2 linked regions of the Notamacropus eugenii genome follow. The protein of the gene in region 1 binds, or shares a complex with, the protein of each later gene. Links are inferred from orthologs where the notes say so. Each region holds a gene or a part of one and is shown in the gene's direction. Other genes may lie near its edges.

The links.
Region 2: the proteins of S1PR1 (region 1) and early activation antigen CD69-like are in contact, whole or in part, in a cryo-EM structure (PDB 8G94), measured with the Homo sapiens proteins. The link is inferred for Notamacropus eugenii from reciprocal best matches to the Homo sapiens genes S1PR1 and CD69. Residues at the interface, in NP_001307659.1 of Homo sapiens: Asn157, Leu160, Phe161, Ile164, Ser165, Trp168, Val169, Leu172, Ile173, Gly176, Ile179, Met180, Gly181; in NP_001772.1 of Homo sapiens: Val41, Ala44, Val45, Val48, Val49, Thr52, Ile53, Ile56, Ile59, Ala60, Val63.

What each region holds. Positions count from the first base shown.
Region 1 is NC_092873.1:277,722,410-277,730,766, forward strand, and holds the start of S1PR1 (sphingosine 1-phosphate receptor 1), read left to right. Parts: upstream 1-4,917; 5' UTR 4,918-5,297; intron 5,298-5,327; exon of another isoform or gene 5,328-6,617; intron 6,618-6,990; 5' UTR 6,991-7,152; coding exon 7,153-8,295; 3' UTR 8,296-8,357.
Region 2 is NC_092874.1:200,193,116-200,200,986, forward strand, and holds the start of early activation antigen CD69-like, read left to right. Parts: upstream 1-4,130; 5' UTR 4,131-4,185; intron 4,186-7,871. UniProt on the Homo sapiens protein: Transmembrane protein expressed mainly on T-cells resident in mucosa that plays an essential role in immune cell homeostasis.

The sequences.
Region 1 (8,357 bases):
GCGTTGTTAGGGGACTAGGGATTAGTACCAGATTCCATTGAACTAAGTATAATACAGACTACCCTGACTCTGACTTCCTGAAGGCCAGGTAGGTTACATTTCATCACTTTCCCAGCATACTCTGATACCCTTCAGGGAATTTGGAGTGGGTATCAAATGACTCCAGCTCATACTGGTGGTGTCCCCCAAATATAGGGGCTTGTCCCCTTGTGCTGCAATTACATTTAGCCATTAAAAGTTAGATTAGCCTTTACACAGAAATATTTACTTCAGGAGGTATAATCACAAACATACAAACTTACTCTTCAACACAAGGGAGGCATATTCCTTTTCCCACTCCTCTCCACTTTGTAGCACATCAGCCTTAGGGGAAAGGGATTAGTTTCACAGTTAAGCTCCATTCCTATAGCACAGTCCCAGTTATAAATCCAAAAGCCCTCTTGGGCTTGTATCAGAGGCTTTTCAAAGCTTCCATACCGGGAGGGCCAGCTGTACTACCCTGACTCAATCCTGGCTCCAAGGTTGGCTCAAGTTCTTTGTAGGTCCTATGGGAATCACCTCCAGAACCTGCAACTTAGGAGGACAAATAGCACAGAATAGAAACAAATACCTCCAAGCCCATTTCTTGAAGCAGAGGTAAAAGAGGGAGTGGGGAAGGAAGACCTTCCTCTTTTACTGTGTAATCCAGACAAGTCTGGGTTAAATAAATGACATTAACTAGTTTTGATAGAGAACTATTTAATTCAAAGGCATAGCAAGAACATACAAATATGCCACTCTTCCCCCAACACCTCCTCTGTCCCTAGGAGAATAAGCTTAAAGCTTAGCTCAGTTCCTATACAACATTAGTCCCATTAAGTTCACACACAAAAACAGCATCTCTGCTGAATGGTTCCTTGTCTAAATTACTGGTGGGCTGGGGTACTGAAAGTCATTTCTAAAGGTTGTTCCTTATTTGTGGCTGAAAAACCTATCCTAGACCTGTTTCCCAGATTCCTTTGGCTCTCCTAACTTTCAAAACTCCTAGGATTGAAAACACCAATTTCCCTTGCTTAAAAAGGAAAACAAAACAAAACAAAAAATGAAAACAAAAGTAGAGGCTAAGGACTAATGACTACATCCCACTTTCTCTGATTTCGACCTTTAGTTAAAATTAGAAGCTAAGGGTCATGTCATGAGACCATACCACCTTAGACTGGAAGAAGACCCTAAAGCCTTTCCCTTGACAACAATGGTCTTTCACCAGATTCAGTGAGTGAAGGATTCATCAAAAGAGACCAAAAGTGAAGAAGACTAAAGGGGAAGTAGCCAACTCTGAGAGGCCTTTTTGAATACCTCCAAAGCCAGTCTATTCTACAGTATGTGGTTAGCTAACCAGAAACAGTTACGTAAGTCCACTCATGCTCCATTGTCTCCAGAAGGCATTTCCTGTATATCATCAAGATTTTCCCAAAAGCATACTCCTTAGCTCTCCATATGGAAAGATGCTGTCCCAGGTGCTCTGCACATGTGCCAACCCTCCCCCTCCCCTTTAAATTGGTTATTGCCCCTTAATCCACATTCTCAAAACTTGTGCTTTTTTTTCTTGACTCTTCATACATTTTTCTAAGTGGTAAAGTCTGGGAAAGACTTCAGAGAAATATTTGTTTTATTTTAAATATTCTTCCAAATTAGCCAGGTGCCTTTTCCATTAATAAGTGTTTGTTGAATTAAATTGAATTGTGGAACTATAATGCAAAAATTTATATGATAAAAGCATTGGAGAAGAGAAAAATACTATAGCAGATCTATCTCAAAAAAGATCATTATCAACTGGAAAAATCAAGGATGGCTTCATGGAAGAGGTGACATTTGTGCTGAGACTTAAAGAATTGGCAGGATTTTGACAGATTAGATGAGGAGAGAGGATGCATCAGATTTAGGAAAATAGCCTGAGAAAAGACCTTGGGACACAAGTAGGGAAAGGTTAGCAGCTTAGCTGGAGCTTAAAGGTAAACCTGGGGTCCATGGACTCCTTCTATGAATAGTTTTCAGGGGGAAGATGAACTAGAATGACATAAAAACACATATTCATTTTCTTTAACCTTTGGTTTCCTTTGTGATCCTATGGATTTTATTTTATGCATTTACAAATATTATTCTGAAAAAGATCCCATAGGTTTCCCCTGATTCCCGAAGAGGTCCATAACACAGAAGTCTAGAAAAGGAGTTTGATGCTAGATTGTGGAGGGCCTTTAATATCAGGTTAAGGAATTTGAGTTTTAGCCTATTTAAGGCTAGGGGATCTTAACCTTTCCTGGACCCTTTTGACAGTCTAGTGAAGCCTATGGATCTCTTCTCAGAATAATATTTTTAAATGCATCAAATAACATATATTAGATTTCAAAGGAAGTCAAAAGTTAGTGAAAATAAAGACATACTTTTTCTTCATCCAAGTTAATGAACTCTTGAGATCTATCTGTGATATTTGCTGATCCCAGGTCAAGAATCCTTACTAAAGCAATAGGGAGCTCCTGGAAACTTTGGATATATACAAAGAAGTGTTTTAGGAAGGTTAAACTGGCAGTATGTGAGGCAGTGTGGCATAGTGGATGGAGAACTAGCCTCTGAGTCAGAAAGACCTGAATTCAGGTCTCACTTTTGATGCAGACTGGCTGAGTGATACTGGACAAGTCACTTACCTTCTTGGTATTCAAGAAAACTAACTCTTCAAGACTTTAAACTACATAGCACATGGGGAACTATGTTGGTAGTAGGATGCCCATATCCCAATGAAATCATAACCTATAAAAAACATTGGTAGCATCGTAAGGATAGGCTGGAGTAAGCAGTAACCAGCTATGGGGAAAATAAACTATTGTACCCATCCAGACAAGAGATGATGCAATTTGTCTGTGTGCACCCGTCCAATGTGTCTATAATTATACTAACAGATAATTGCTAAATTACCATCCATCTCTCCTTTGAAATTAACAAAGCTCTCAAATGCAACTCGAGACACATCTGAGAACTCTGTTTCCCCTGTTTTTAAAGTTAGTGTTTGAGTTTGTGATGTTTATGTATGGTTTTGTGCATTGTAAAAGTTTGTCATTAAAGGGAACTCTGTGACAGATGTGAACTAACCGTTACTTTAAAACGAGAAACTTTTCATTTTTTCCTGCAAACTCATAACATTCTAGAAGCTAGGGGTCTGATGTTTTCTTCTTCTAACCTTCTTCTGACTCATTCAGGTAGAGGGTGTGTACGCCAATAGAAACTAGACAGCAGGGGAAGATATGTTTCTTCACATCTACTAAAGAGCTAGTACATAGGATCACAGGATCTTAAGGAAAGTAAATATGGCTAGTAGCTGTTTATCAGCTGAATAGAGGTATAATGTTTTTGCTACCTACATATGTTTTATCTGGACTCTGCCCATGTTCTTAGAAGGTTAAAGTGGAGAGAGGGGGTGAGTCTGTTCCTCTTCAGCTTTGACTTTCTTACCAGGTAGAGTGATGAAAGAAGAGACGATCTTCCTGCTGTTTGGGGGATTGAGAGGGCCCCTGGCTGGAGAGTAAGCCTGAGTTTTCCTTTCTTTGGAGTTTCTAGGCATTGACTCCGCCCCCAAACTCCTGTAATTCTTTTTATTTAAATACATTGATTGTAATCCATCCACTGTCCAATCCAAAAGGGTACAGGAGAGGGAGGGAGAAAGAAGAGGAAGAGAGACCTACAGACAAAGGGAGAGACCTGCAGAGACAGAAATAGAGATTGAGTCAGAGAAGGAGAGGGAGAGACAGAGATAAAAGAAATAGACACAGAGACAGAAAAGGCGAATGACATGGGAAGGGGAGAGGAGAAAACAGGATGACAAGAATATGAGACCTGGATGAGAGACCAAATTTAGCCCAATCTTCTCATTTTATAGATAAGGACATTGAGGGCCAGAGAGGTAAAGGGATTTGTTGACCTGTCCAAGACTCTTGCCTCTACAACCCACTTTCTCTGATCTTGACCTTTATCCCACTTTAGACAGACATGGAAATACCCCCTTCCATCCCCCTCCGTTCTTCCCATCATCCCGAGCTATCCCTCTTTCCTCTCATTTCCCATTTCTCTTGTGACGCGATGCTATGGCATTCCACTCAACAAGAGCCAATTTTTTTTTTCCCTCTGCCCACAATCTCTGCCCCTCCTCCCCTCCCCAAGATGCTCACTCTATCCAGCCTCAAAAGAGAACTGGTGGTGAATGTGGCGAAAAGAGAAAGGGAGATGAGGGACATTCTTCGGGTCCTGCCTATCCAGCTTGCCTGAACCAAAGACCACTTTGACATCCCCCTCTCTCCCAGACCCTCCCCACTTTTCTCCCAAGCGCGGGCCCTGGCTTCTTAGAAGCTTCTCTCTGATTCCCAGGGCTTCCCTTCCTATACCCTGTGGTTACTCCCCAGGGACCCAGAAACCGGACCTTGGTTAATAGTCTCTTGGGGGCGGGTATGGGGAAGGGAGGAGAAGAAGCAGAGGAGAGGAGAGGAGAGGAGAGGACAGAAGAGGAGAGGAGAGGAGAGGACAGAAGAGGAGAGGAGAGGAGAGAAGGTTGCGTGGAAATGACTTCTGGGAGAGAGTGAGAATGTGGAGGGGAGCTGGGAGGAGGCTGGAAGGAAGCAGTCTAGGGGTTTGCTTAGGACAAGCCAGTGTTAGGCATCCAAACACATAGAAAAAAGAGAAGTTTTCCAAAGCTCTCAGACTTCTCCCTCCCCCACTCTCTTTTCAAAAGAGTAGCGGGGATGAATAAGCTCCACCGCCCGGGAGCAGCGTCTTGGCAGCTAAAGGACCGTGATTTATACATTATAGCTACAAGGGGGCCCCCAGGCTCCTCCTACTGAGCTAGGTCTGGTTGGTGGTTTGCGTCCCCCTCCTCTCGGTTTCCCCTCCCATCCACCCAGCTCCTTTCCTGGAGAGTCCGGAGTGACTATTCAGATCCAGAGGAGCCCCAGCTGCCTGAGGAGGGGGTGAAAGATTAGATACGTTAACCCCTCCCAGTCCCTCCCTAAACCAGCAGCAGAAGAAAACACATACACGCCAGTGAGACTACCAGTACAGTTAGTTGAGCTCTCTGGATTGGGCTCTATCTCCTGCCTGCACCTCCCGGACTGGCCAGAACGCGCTTAGCTGGAGAGCGAGGAGAAGGAGGGGGGGGACCCCTTGGTAAAGGAAGTTTGGTAGCGAGGCTTGAATTCATTCTGGGGCAGCAAGATGCCAAGCACGAGCTCCTGCCGACCAGAAGCATTTAAAAACGAACTTTGTCCTGCCTGAGCGAGGTAAGAGCTCCGAGGAGCAACGTGGACTAGGGGAAGACGGGAGGGAGCCCAGGTCTTGAATGGGCTTTGATCGCAAACTGTGGAAAGCAAACTTTGGCTTTGGATATGAAGTTTTAAAATGTGCACGCATGCATTATCGTAGTTATTATTAATATCGAAAACTCCATATGTGAGCGATTATCTCCCCTAGGAACGCAAATCAGACAGGCTGACCCTGCTGACTCTCTTACCTGCCTCAAGTTTTGGAGGCGTTTATAGATGTGATTTGCAAGAGTTTAAGGGGTGCCAAATCGAAATTGGACGAAAGGCTGGAAAAGTCCGCGGGTGGTCAGCCGAGAGGAAGGAAAAGGGGGAGAGGGTCATTGTTGAAAACCCAATAGACAACGCTTGCAGAAAAAGTGCTAAAAAGAATATCCACTTGCTCTGTACGGCGTCCCATTGCAGAATTCGTTGGGGAGGACAGGGGTGTCAACGAAGTGCGTGCAGAGAAATCTCTGCTGATCCAAGATAGTTACTACGTTAAATCTTAAAGGGTCCATTTGTTACCCAGTTACTACTGCTGCTACATTGCCTTTAGCATATTAAGGAATTTCACTTTCTAGTTTTGTGATATCGCCTTGGTCTTTTTCCTCCTCACTTTCTGGTTCATTGAAAGAGGGGACCCTCTTTTTTTTACAGAGGTGGTGGTGGGAGATTATTTATGGTATACATTGTAATCTGTTAAAGCGTTTAGTTATTTGACTTTCTTGAAAATCGTTTTGCGGTGGAACATCAGAACTTGACGACCTGCGTTGTCATTCTAACTATAACATGTTTTTTTAAACCAGAAAAAAATGTTAAAAAAACTTATGCAATCTATTTATTAGTTATCTCAAACTTTGAGGTCTGCTGAATTCCCTTTGTTATGAATGGGTTTCACTAAGTTCCTTTAAGTCTATTTGTACTGCCCTACTGCTGCTTTCAAAGGTTGCGCAAAAAGGGGGAGGGGGAGCTTCATTTTAAGTTTTAAGCTTTCCTGTTTACCGCTTAGGTTGCTGTTGGCCTCGCTTCGCACACCTCACTGGAGCCTCACGCTGGTGATCTTCACTGCACACCTGCTTCTAGAGGATGCTATTAATAGAGTGAAAAGAGTGATTTAGTTTATGAGCTGATTTTCTTGAGAAATTCATACATAACAATTCGGCAGTCGTTTCTCCTTTTTAGGAAGGGGAGGGGACAGTACTCCCCTCCCCTCCTCCCCACCCCAACCCTCGGTTTCTAAACTTGAGGTTTAATTGCCCGCATTGGAGTTGAGTGAGATGGCGAGTGAAGCAGCTGAAAGTGTGTGTCGGGGGGGAGAGGAAGGGCTTACCCAGGGAGGGACTCAGGAGAGGTCTGGAGTAATTGGAAATGCAGTATGATCCACCACAAGCATCTCCAAGTTTAGTTTAAAAAGTCTTCCCTAATACATTCTGTCTAGTTTTGGCGGGGGTGGGGGTGGAGGGAGGGAGGAAAATGCAGGATTTTTTTCGGTTTGGAGAAAATTGAGGACTTTTCTTTTTGCAAAAGTTGGACATTCGATTCCTTGTAGGTTTTTACCCCCTTTCTCTTCTCTCTGAACATAGATAGAGCCACAACTGTAGCTCGAATGAATTATGCCAACGTAATGTGCCTCTTTCCCCCCCTGACTCTCTCCTCTTTGTGCCTTGTTTAGGGCCGAGGTCTTCGAGGCCCCATCAGCAGGGGAAGGGCTACAGAAAAGACTGGCCACCGCTCCCTGTACCAGCCGGTGGTACAAGCCTTGCTCGACTTTGCCCTCTAGCGTCCAGTTGGGGAGGCGACGCATAGGGCTACTGCAGGCCTTTCTCCCAGAATCATGGGCTCCACCAGTGTGCCGTCGGTCAAGGCCATTCCCAGCTTGGTCTCTGACTATGTCAACTATGACATCATCATCAAGCATTACAACTACACGGGAAAGCTGAACTCCAGCGCGGAGAGCGGCCTCAAAGTGACTTCGGTGTTATTCATCCTCATCTGCTGCTTCATTATCCTGGAGAACATTTTCGTGCTCCTGACCATCTGGAAAACCAAGAAGTTCCACCGGCCCATGTACTATTTCATTGGAAACTTAGCCCTGTCGGACCTGCTGGCCGGGGTGGCCTATACAGCCAACCTCCTTCTCTCCGGGGCCACCACCTACAAACTCACTCCAGCGCAGTGGTTCCTGCGGGAGGGTAGTATGTTCGTGGCCCTGTCGGCCTCCGTGTTCAGCTTGCTGGCCATTGCCATCGAGCGCTACATCACCATGCTAAAGATGAAGCTACACAACGGGAGCAACAGTTTCCGCTCCTTCCTGCTCATCAGCGCCTGCTGGGTCATCTCGCTGATCCTGGGGGGGCTGCCCATCATGGGTTGGAACTGCATTGGCTACTTACAAAGCTGCTCCACCGTGCTGCCCCTCTACCACAAGCACTATATCCTTTTCTGCACCACAGTTTTCACCCTGCTCCTCCTCTCCATCGTCATCCTCTACTGCCGGATCTATTCCCTGGTCAGGACTCGGAGCCGTCGGCTGACCTTCCGCAAGAACATTTCTAAGGCCAGCAGGAGCTCCGAGAAATCACTTGCGCTCCTCAAGACGGTCATCATCGTCTTGAGCGCTTTCATTGCCTGTTGGTCTCCACTTTTCATCTTGCTCCTTCTGGACGTGGGCTGCAAGGTGAATACGTGTAAAATCCTCTACAAGGCTGAGTATTTCTTGGTGTTGGCGGTGCTCAACTCGGCCACCAACCCCATCATTTACACGCTGACCAACAAGGAGATGCGGCGGGCATTCGTGCGCATCATGTCTTGCTGCAAGTGCCCTAGCGGGGACTCGGGGGCCAAGTTCAAGCGACCCATCATTGGCGGCATGGAGTTCAGCCGCAGCAAATCAGATAATTCTTCCCACCCGCAAAAGGACGACGGCGACAACCCGGAGACTATCATGTCCTCTGGGAACGTTAATTCCTCTTCCTAAACCTGAACTCTGCTGCAGGCCTACAGGGGTGCTGTGCTGACGCCTCCCCCTCCCAATCCCAC
Region 2 (7,871 bases), on another chromosome or scaffold:
TCAGAAGTGGTTTAAATGTTTCCTGTTTGAAGACTAAGACAAATGTAAACATGGAGTATAAATTTCCGGAGGTTGATTGTTAAGATCAATAGGAAAGTGTACCCATCTTTGATGAAACCCCCAGGGATAATACAGAAAAACCACTGCATTTATATTTTGTTTAAGTTCAATAGCGAGACCCAAAATGTGTTCCTATATTATAAAAGAGACTACTTAGAAAGAAACTTAATCATTAAAATATAATTAACTTTTTAAAAGCTTTTAGAAAGGGACATTTCATTAAAAATTATGTATATACCCAATAATATTTTCTCCCACCCCAAATATTTAAGAAGGGGCATGCTCTCCCTTATATGACTTTCACTTCTAAGGGAGTTAACTCAACACTTAGTTACTTTCCTATATAGCACTGATCCCATCAAGTTCACTTTTATATGCTGCATGATTTTCAGGTAAAACCTAATTTCAGTTTCCATTGGCCTGGGTCTAGAAGATCACTCTTTGATTAATGCTGTATTGGCTTCAACAAAATGTTGCTATGCCCTAATGATGACCTTTTGAACTCACTACAGTATGAGACTTTACCCAGCATGGAAAAGAACAAAAGAAAAGATTGAGGATAGAGATTGGGACCCCATGGCTTCAGATAGGGAAAAGCCCTAAGATTTTCTCATTTACCACATGGTGTCTCACCAGACGCCTTCGGCAAAGGATTCCTCAAAATGCCTTCAAAATAACTGAGGGAAAAGAGTCCATGGCTGGTGCTTAGGAGGCTTTTTTTTGAAGACATTTAAAACCAATTAGAGAGCCTTCCTTCACCAAGTGGTTTGCTAACTAGAACCAGTTACATCCATGCATGCTAAGGCACTTCCTTTACATTTCAACATGACTCTTCTGGAAACAAAGCTCTTGAGTGTCCTTTTTTAAAAATTAAATTATTTTATTTGTTTTCAGTGTTCAACAATCACTTCCATACATCTTAGATATTTTCCTCTCCCTTCTCCTCATTTCCTCCTCCCTCCTCATTCCCTCCCTGAGAGGGCATGCAATCTTATATAGGTTTTACATATGCATTTCTATTAAATACATGCTGCATAGAAGAATTAAAATGAATGGGAGAAACCATAAAACAAAACAAAACAAAGCATAATACAAAAGAAAATGGTCTGCTTCTATCTGCAATCCAATTTCATAGTTATTTCTCTGGATGTGGAAAGTATTTTGCCTCGAGACCATTGGAAATTTTTTAAGTCCTTGCATTGAAATGAAGTACTAAGTCTACCAGAAAAATTCCTCGCACACTGTGGTTGTTCCTGTGTACAAAGTTCTCTTGGTTCTGCTCCTTTAACCTAGCATCAGTTCATATAAGTCTTTCCAGGCCTCTCTTCCTGTTCATTTTTCATAGCACAACAGGATTCCATTATATTCATATACAACAACTTACTCAGCCATTTCCCAATTGATGGACATCTCCTTGATTTCCAGTTTTTGGCCACCACAGAGAGCTGCTATAAACATTTTTGTACATATAGGACCCTTTCCCATTTTTATGATCTCTTTAGAAGAGAGTACCAGAAGTGATATTACTGAGTCAAAGTGTATGCACATTCTTGTAGTCCTTTGGGCATAGTTCCAAATTGCTCTCCAGAATGGTTGGATCAGCTCACAGCTCCACCAACAATGAATTAGTGTTCCAATTCTCCTACATCTTCTCCAACATTTATTATCTTCCTCTTTTGTCACATTAGTCAATCTGATAGGTGTAATGTGGTATCTCAGAGTTGTTTTGATTTGTATCTCTCTAACCAATAGTGATTTAGGGCATTTTTTCATATGACTATAGATATATTTAATTTCTTCCTCTGAAAACTGCCTGTTCATATCTTTTGACCATTTATCAATTGGGGAACGACTTGTATTCTTGGACATTTCACTCAGTTCTCTATACAGTATAGAAAAGAGGCCTTTATCACAGACATTAGTCACAAAAATTCTTTCCCAGTTTTCTTCTTCCCTCCTAATCTTGGTTGCATTGGGTTCTTCTGTGCAAAAACATTTCAATTTAATGTAATCAAAATTATCCATTTTGCACTTCATAATGTTCTCTATCTCTTGTTTGGTCATAAATTTCTCCATTCTCCATAAATCTGACAAATACATTATTCCCTCCTCCCCTAATTTGTTTATACCTAGATCATGTATCATTCTTGTGTACGGTGTCAGACATGGGTCTATGCCCAGTTTCTGCCACACTGTTATCCAGTTCTCCCAGCAATTTTTGTCAAAGTGAGTTCTTATCCCAGAAGTTAAGGCCCTTGGGTTTATCAAACAGTAGATTGCTATATTCATGGACTACTGTGTCTGGAGTACCTAACTATTCCACTGGTCTACCCCTCTATTTCTTAGCCAATACCAATACCTTTATAATACAATTTGAGATCTGGTAGGGTTAGGGCACCTTCCCTACCATTTCTTTTCATTCGTTCCCTTGTTTTTCTGAACCTTTTGTTCTTCCAGATGAATTTTGATACTATTTTTTCTAGCTGTAGAAAGTAATTATCTGGTAAGTTTGATTGGTATGGCACTGAATAAGTACATTAATTTAGGTAGAATTGTCATTTTTATTATATTAGCTCGGCCTACCCATGAGCAACTGAGATTTTTCCACTTAACTTAGATCTGATTTTATTTCTGTGAAAAGTCTTTTGTAATTGTGTTCATATAGTCCCTGGGTTTGTTTTGGCAGGTAGACTGCCAGATGTTTTATAGTGTCTACCATAGCTTTAAATAGGATTTTTCTTTCTATCTCTTGCTGTTGGACTTTGTTAGTAATATATAGAAATGCAGATGATTTATCTGGGTTTATTTTGTAACCTGCAACTTTGTCAGTTATTTATTATTTCAAGTAGTTTTTTACTTCATTCTCTGGAATTCTCTAAGGATATCATCACATCATCTGCAAAGAGTAATAACTTAGTTTCTTCTTTGACTATTCTAATTCCTTCAAATTTTTTCTTCTCTTATTGCTACAGCTAGCATTTCTACTAACATATTTAATAACAGTGGTAATAAAAGACATCTTTGTTTCACCCCTGATCTTATTGGAAATGCATCTAGCTTATCCCCATTGCACATAATGCTTGCTGATGATTTTAGGTAGACACTGCATATTATTTTCTAGAAAGTTTCATATATTACTACGCTTTCCCGTGTTTTCAATAGGAAACACTGGTTTTTGGCAAAAGCTTTTTCTGCATCTCTTGAGATAATCATGTGGTTTCTGTCAGTTTTATTGTTGATATGATCAATAATACTAATAGTTTTCCTAATATTGAACCAGTCCTGCACTGTTGGTAGAAATCCTACCTGAGAAAAATGTATTATTCTAGTCATAAGTTGCTGTAGCCTTTTTGCTAACATCTTATTTAAAATTTTTGCATCTATACTCAATAGAGAAATTGGTCTATAATTTTCTTTCTTTGTTTTGGCTCTTCCTGGTTTAGGCATCAGAACTACATGCAATTTTCCCAAATAGTCTATGTAGTATTTTAATTAAGTGTTCTTTAAATGTTTGATAGAATTCACTTGTAAATTCATTTGTCTGGCTCTGGAGATTTTTTCCCAAGGAGTTCATTGATGGTTTGTTCAATTTCTTTTTCTGAGATGAGGTTATTTAAGTATTCAACTTCCTCTTCTGTTAATCTGGGCAGTTTATATTTTTTAAAATAATCATCCATCTCATTTAGATTGTCGAATTTGTGGGCATACAGTTGGGGAAAGTAATTTCTAATTATTGTTTTAATTTCCTCCTCATTGGAGGTTAGTTCACCCTTTTCATTTTTGATATTGATAATTTGGTTTTCTTCTTTCTTTTTTTAATCCAATTGACCAAAGTTTTATCAATTTTACTGTTTTTTTCATAAAACCAACTCTTAGTTTTATTTATTAGTTCAGTAGTTTTCTTAATTTCAATTTCAATTCAATTCTCAATTTCAACTTCAAATTCTCCTTTGGTTTTCAGGATTTCTAATTTTGTATTCACCTGGGGATTTCAATTTTTTTTTCTAGCTTTTTCAGCTGCATGTCCAATTCACTGATCTCCTATTTCTCTATTTTATTCATGCAGGCATTCAAAGATATAAAGCTTCATCTAAGAACTGATTTTTCAGTTTCCTATAAGATTTGGTGAGTTGTCTCATTATTGTCATTCTCTTGAATGAACTTATTGATTGTTTCCATAATTTGTTGTTTAACCCACTTGTTCTTTAGGATTGAATTGTTCAGTTTCCAATTAATTTTTGCTTTATATTTCCATGGCCTTTGATTATATATAATTTTTATTGCATTATGATCTAAGAAGGATGCACTGACTGCCTTTCTGCACTGGATAGTGAGGATTTTATGGCCTAGTACATGGTCAATTTTTATATATGTGCCATGTACAGCTGAGAAAAAGGTATAGTTCTTTCTATCCCTTTTCAATTTTCTCCAGAGATCTATCATACCTACCTTATCCAGAGTTTTATTCACCTCTTTAACTTCTTTCTTGTTTGTTTTGAGGTTAGATTTATCAAGTTCAGAGAGGGGGAGGTTGAAGTCCCCCACTAGTATAGTTTTGCTGTCTATTTCTTCCTGTAACTCCCTTAACTTGTCCTCTAGGAATCTGGTTGCTATACTACTTGGAGCATATATATTTAGTAATGAAATTGCTTCGTTGTCTATGATGCCTTTTAGCAGGATATAGTTTCCTTCTTTATCTTTTTTGATTAGATCTATTTCTGCTTTTCCTTTGTCTGAGATTGAGATTGCTACCCCTGCTTTTTTAACATCAGCTGAAGCACAATATATTCTGTTCCAACCTTTCACCTTTACCCTGTGTGTATGCCCACATTTCAAATATGTTTCTTGTAAACAACTTATTGTTGGATTATGGTTTTTAATCCATTCTACTATCCATCTCTGTTTTCTGGGAGGGTTCATTCCATTCACATTCACAGTTATGATTACTATCTGTGTCTTTCCCTCCATCCCCTTTCCCCTGTTTATATTTTTAATTGTCCTTTTCCCTTCCCCTCCACAATAAAACTTTAATTTTTGACCACAGCCTCCCTCAATCTTCCCCCCTTCTTTGAACTCCCCTCCATTTTAATTCCCTTTTCTCCTATTTCTTCTTCCCTCCCTTTTAGTTTCCCCTTCCTTTTCTTTCCCGCTTCCCCTCCTATTGCCTATGGAGCTAGTTGTATTTCTATACTTAACTGAGTTTATGGTTCCCTCCTTGAATCTAATCAAATGAGAGTGATTCTCAAACAATGCTCATCTCCCTCCCCTCTTTCCTTCTACTGTAATATATTTTTGTGCCTCTTCCTGTGATCCAATTTACCTTTTTATGACTCCTCCTTTTCACATCTCTCATTACAATCCCTTCACACTCTTAAATCACATTTTTATCATGACATCATTTACTTTATACCACTCTCTCTATCTATGTATATTCCTTTTATATATCATAATAAGTATACAACTCTCAAGATTAACAAGCATCATCTTCCTTTATAGATTTGGAAACAGTTTACCCATATTGCCCATTTTCCCCCTGTTTACTTTTTTATGCCTCTCTTGAGACCTGCATTTGAATTTTCTACTGAGCTCTGGCCTTTTCATCAGGAAGGTCTGGAGATCCCTTATTTCATTGAATGTCCATCTCCTTGCCTGAAATATTATGCTCAAATTTCCTAGGTAATTGATCCTTGGTTGTAGTCCCAGCTCCTTTGCCTTATGGAATATCATATTCCAATCACTCTGATCTTTTAATGTAGAAGCTGTAAGGTCCTGTGTGATCCTGACTGTAGGTCCTTGACATTTGAATGGTTTCTTTCTGGCTGCCTGCAGTATTTTCTCCTTCACTTGATAGTTCTGGAATTTTGCAACGATATTCCTTGGTGATTTTAGTTTGGAATGCCTTGCAGGAGATGAACAATGGACTCTTTCAATGACTACTTTGCCCTTCGGATCTAGGACTTCTGGACAATTTTCCTTGATGATTACTTGGAAGATATTGTCTTGGCTCTTTTTTCATCATGACTTTCTGGTAGATCAATAATCCTTAGATTTTCTCTCCTGGATGTATTTTCCCAGGTTGGTTGTTTTTCCAATTAGATATTTTACATTTTCTTCTATCTTTTCATTCTTTAAATTCTGTTTGACTCATTCTTGATGTCTCATAGAGTCTTTAGTTTCTACTTACCTGATTCTACTATTTATCAAATTGTTTTCTTCAGTTAATTTTTGCATCTCCTTTTTCATCTGTCCAGTTGTTCCTTTTAAGGAATTATTTTCTCCAGTTAGGTTTTTGTGCTTCCTTTTCCCTTTGTCCAATATTCCTTTTAAATTCTTCTGTGATTTCTTTTTTCATATTTAAAAAAAAAATCATGTCAGTTTTTCTTCTATTTCTCTAATTTGGCTTTTAAAATCCTTCCTGAGCTCTTCCAAGATTGCTCTTTGTGCTTCATACCAGTTCATATTTCCATCTGAAGTTTCAGATGGAAGTACAGTCTCAACACTGACCTCTTTGGTGTGGCAGAGGTAGCAGCAGCCAGTGTCCATTGTTCCATTGTTGGAGAGTTCAGCTTAAACCTCCCCCCACCAGGGAACTGAGCAGCTGATATGAACCTGAGCCCTGAGTGGTGGCCCTGCCCCACACCTAAAGCCCTTGGAGAAATTGAGCAGCTGATATGAATCTCAATCATGAGCCTGGCCAGGGAGTAAATTCCTCTCACTTAATTGTGACATCTTGGAGGAACTGAAATCTTGCAGGTCTCCAGAGTATACCCTACTCTTGATAAAGGACCAAAAAGTCAGGTAACTGGTTGGGAAAATGACCAAAAAAGGGAAAAAAATAAGACTATAGAAGGTTACTTTCTTGGTGAACAGGTATTTTCTACCATCCTTTCTGATGAGGAAGAAGAATGTTTACCATCAGGGGAAGACATAAAAGTCAAGGCTTCTGCATTCAAAACCTCCAAAATAAATATGCAATGGTCTTAGGCCATGGAAGAGCTCAAAAAGGATTTTGAAAATCAAGCTAGAGAGATGGAGGAAAAAATGGGAAAAGAAATGAGAGCAATGCAAGAAAGTCATGAAAAGTGAGTCAACAGCTTGCTAAAGGAAACCAAAAAAAATGCTGAAGAAAATAACACCTTTAAAAATAGCCTAACTCAATTGACAAAAGAGGTTCAAAAAGCCAATGAGGAGAAAGTGCTCTAAAAAGCAGAATTAGCCAAATGGAAAGAGTTTCAAAAGCTCACTGAAGAAAAGAATGACTTTATGAGAAACCAAGAAATAACAAAACAAAACCAAAAGAATGAAAAAATGGAAGATAATGTGAAATGTCTCATTGGAAAAACAAGTGACCTCAAAAATAGGTTGAAGAGACACAATTTAAAAATTATGGGACTACCTCAAAGCCATGATAAAAAATAAGAGCTTAGACATCATCTTTCATGAAATTATCAAGGAAAACTGCCCTGATATTTTAGAACCAGTGTGCAAAATAAATATTGAAAGAATCCACAGATCATCTGCTGAACAAGATCCAAAAAGAGAAACTCCTAGGAATATTGTAGCCAAATTCGAGAGTTCCCAGGTCAAGGAGAAAATACTGCAAGGAGCTAGAAAGAATCAATTTGAGTATTGTGAAAATCTAATCAGGATAACACAAGATTTAGCAGCTTCTACATTAAGGGATCAAAGGGCTTGGAATATGATATTCCAGAAGTCAGAGGAACTAGGATTAAAACAAGAATCACCTACCCAGAAAAACTGAGTTTAATACTGTTGGGGGTGTAAGCTCAGTTCCATGTGGACAGTCTCGG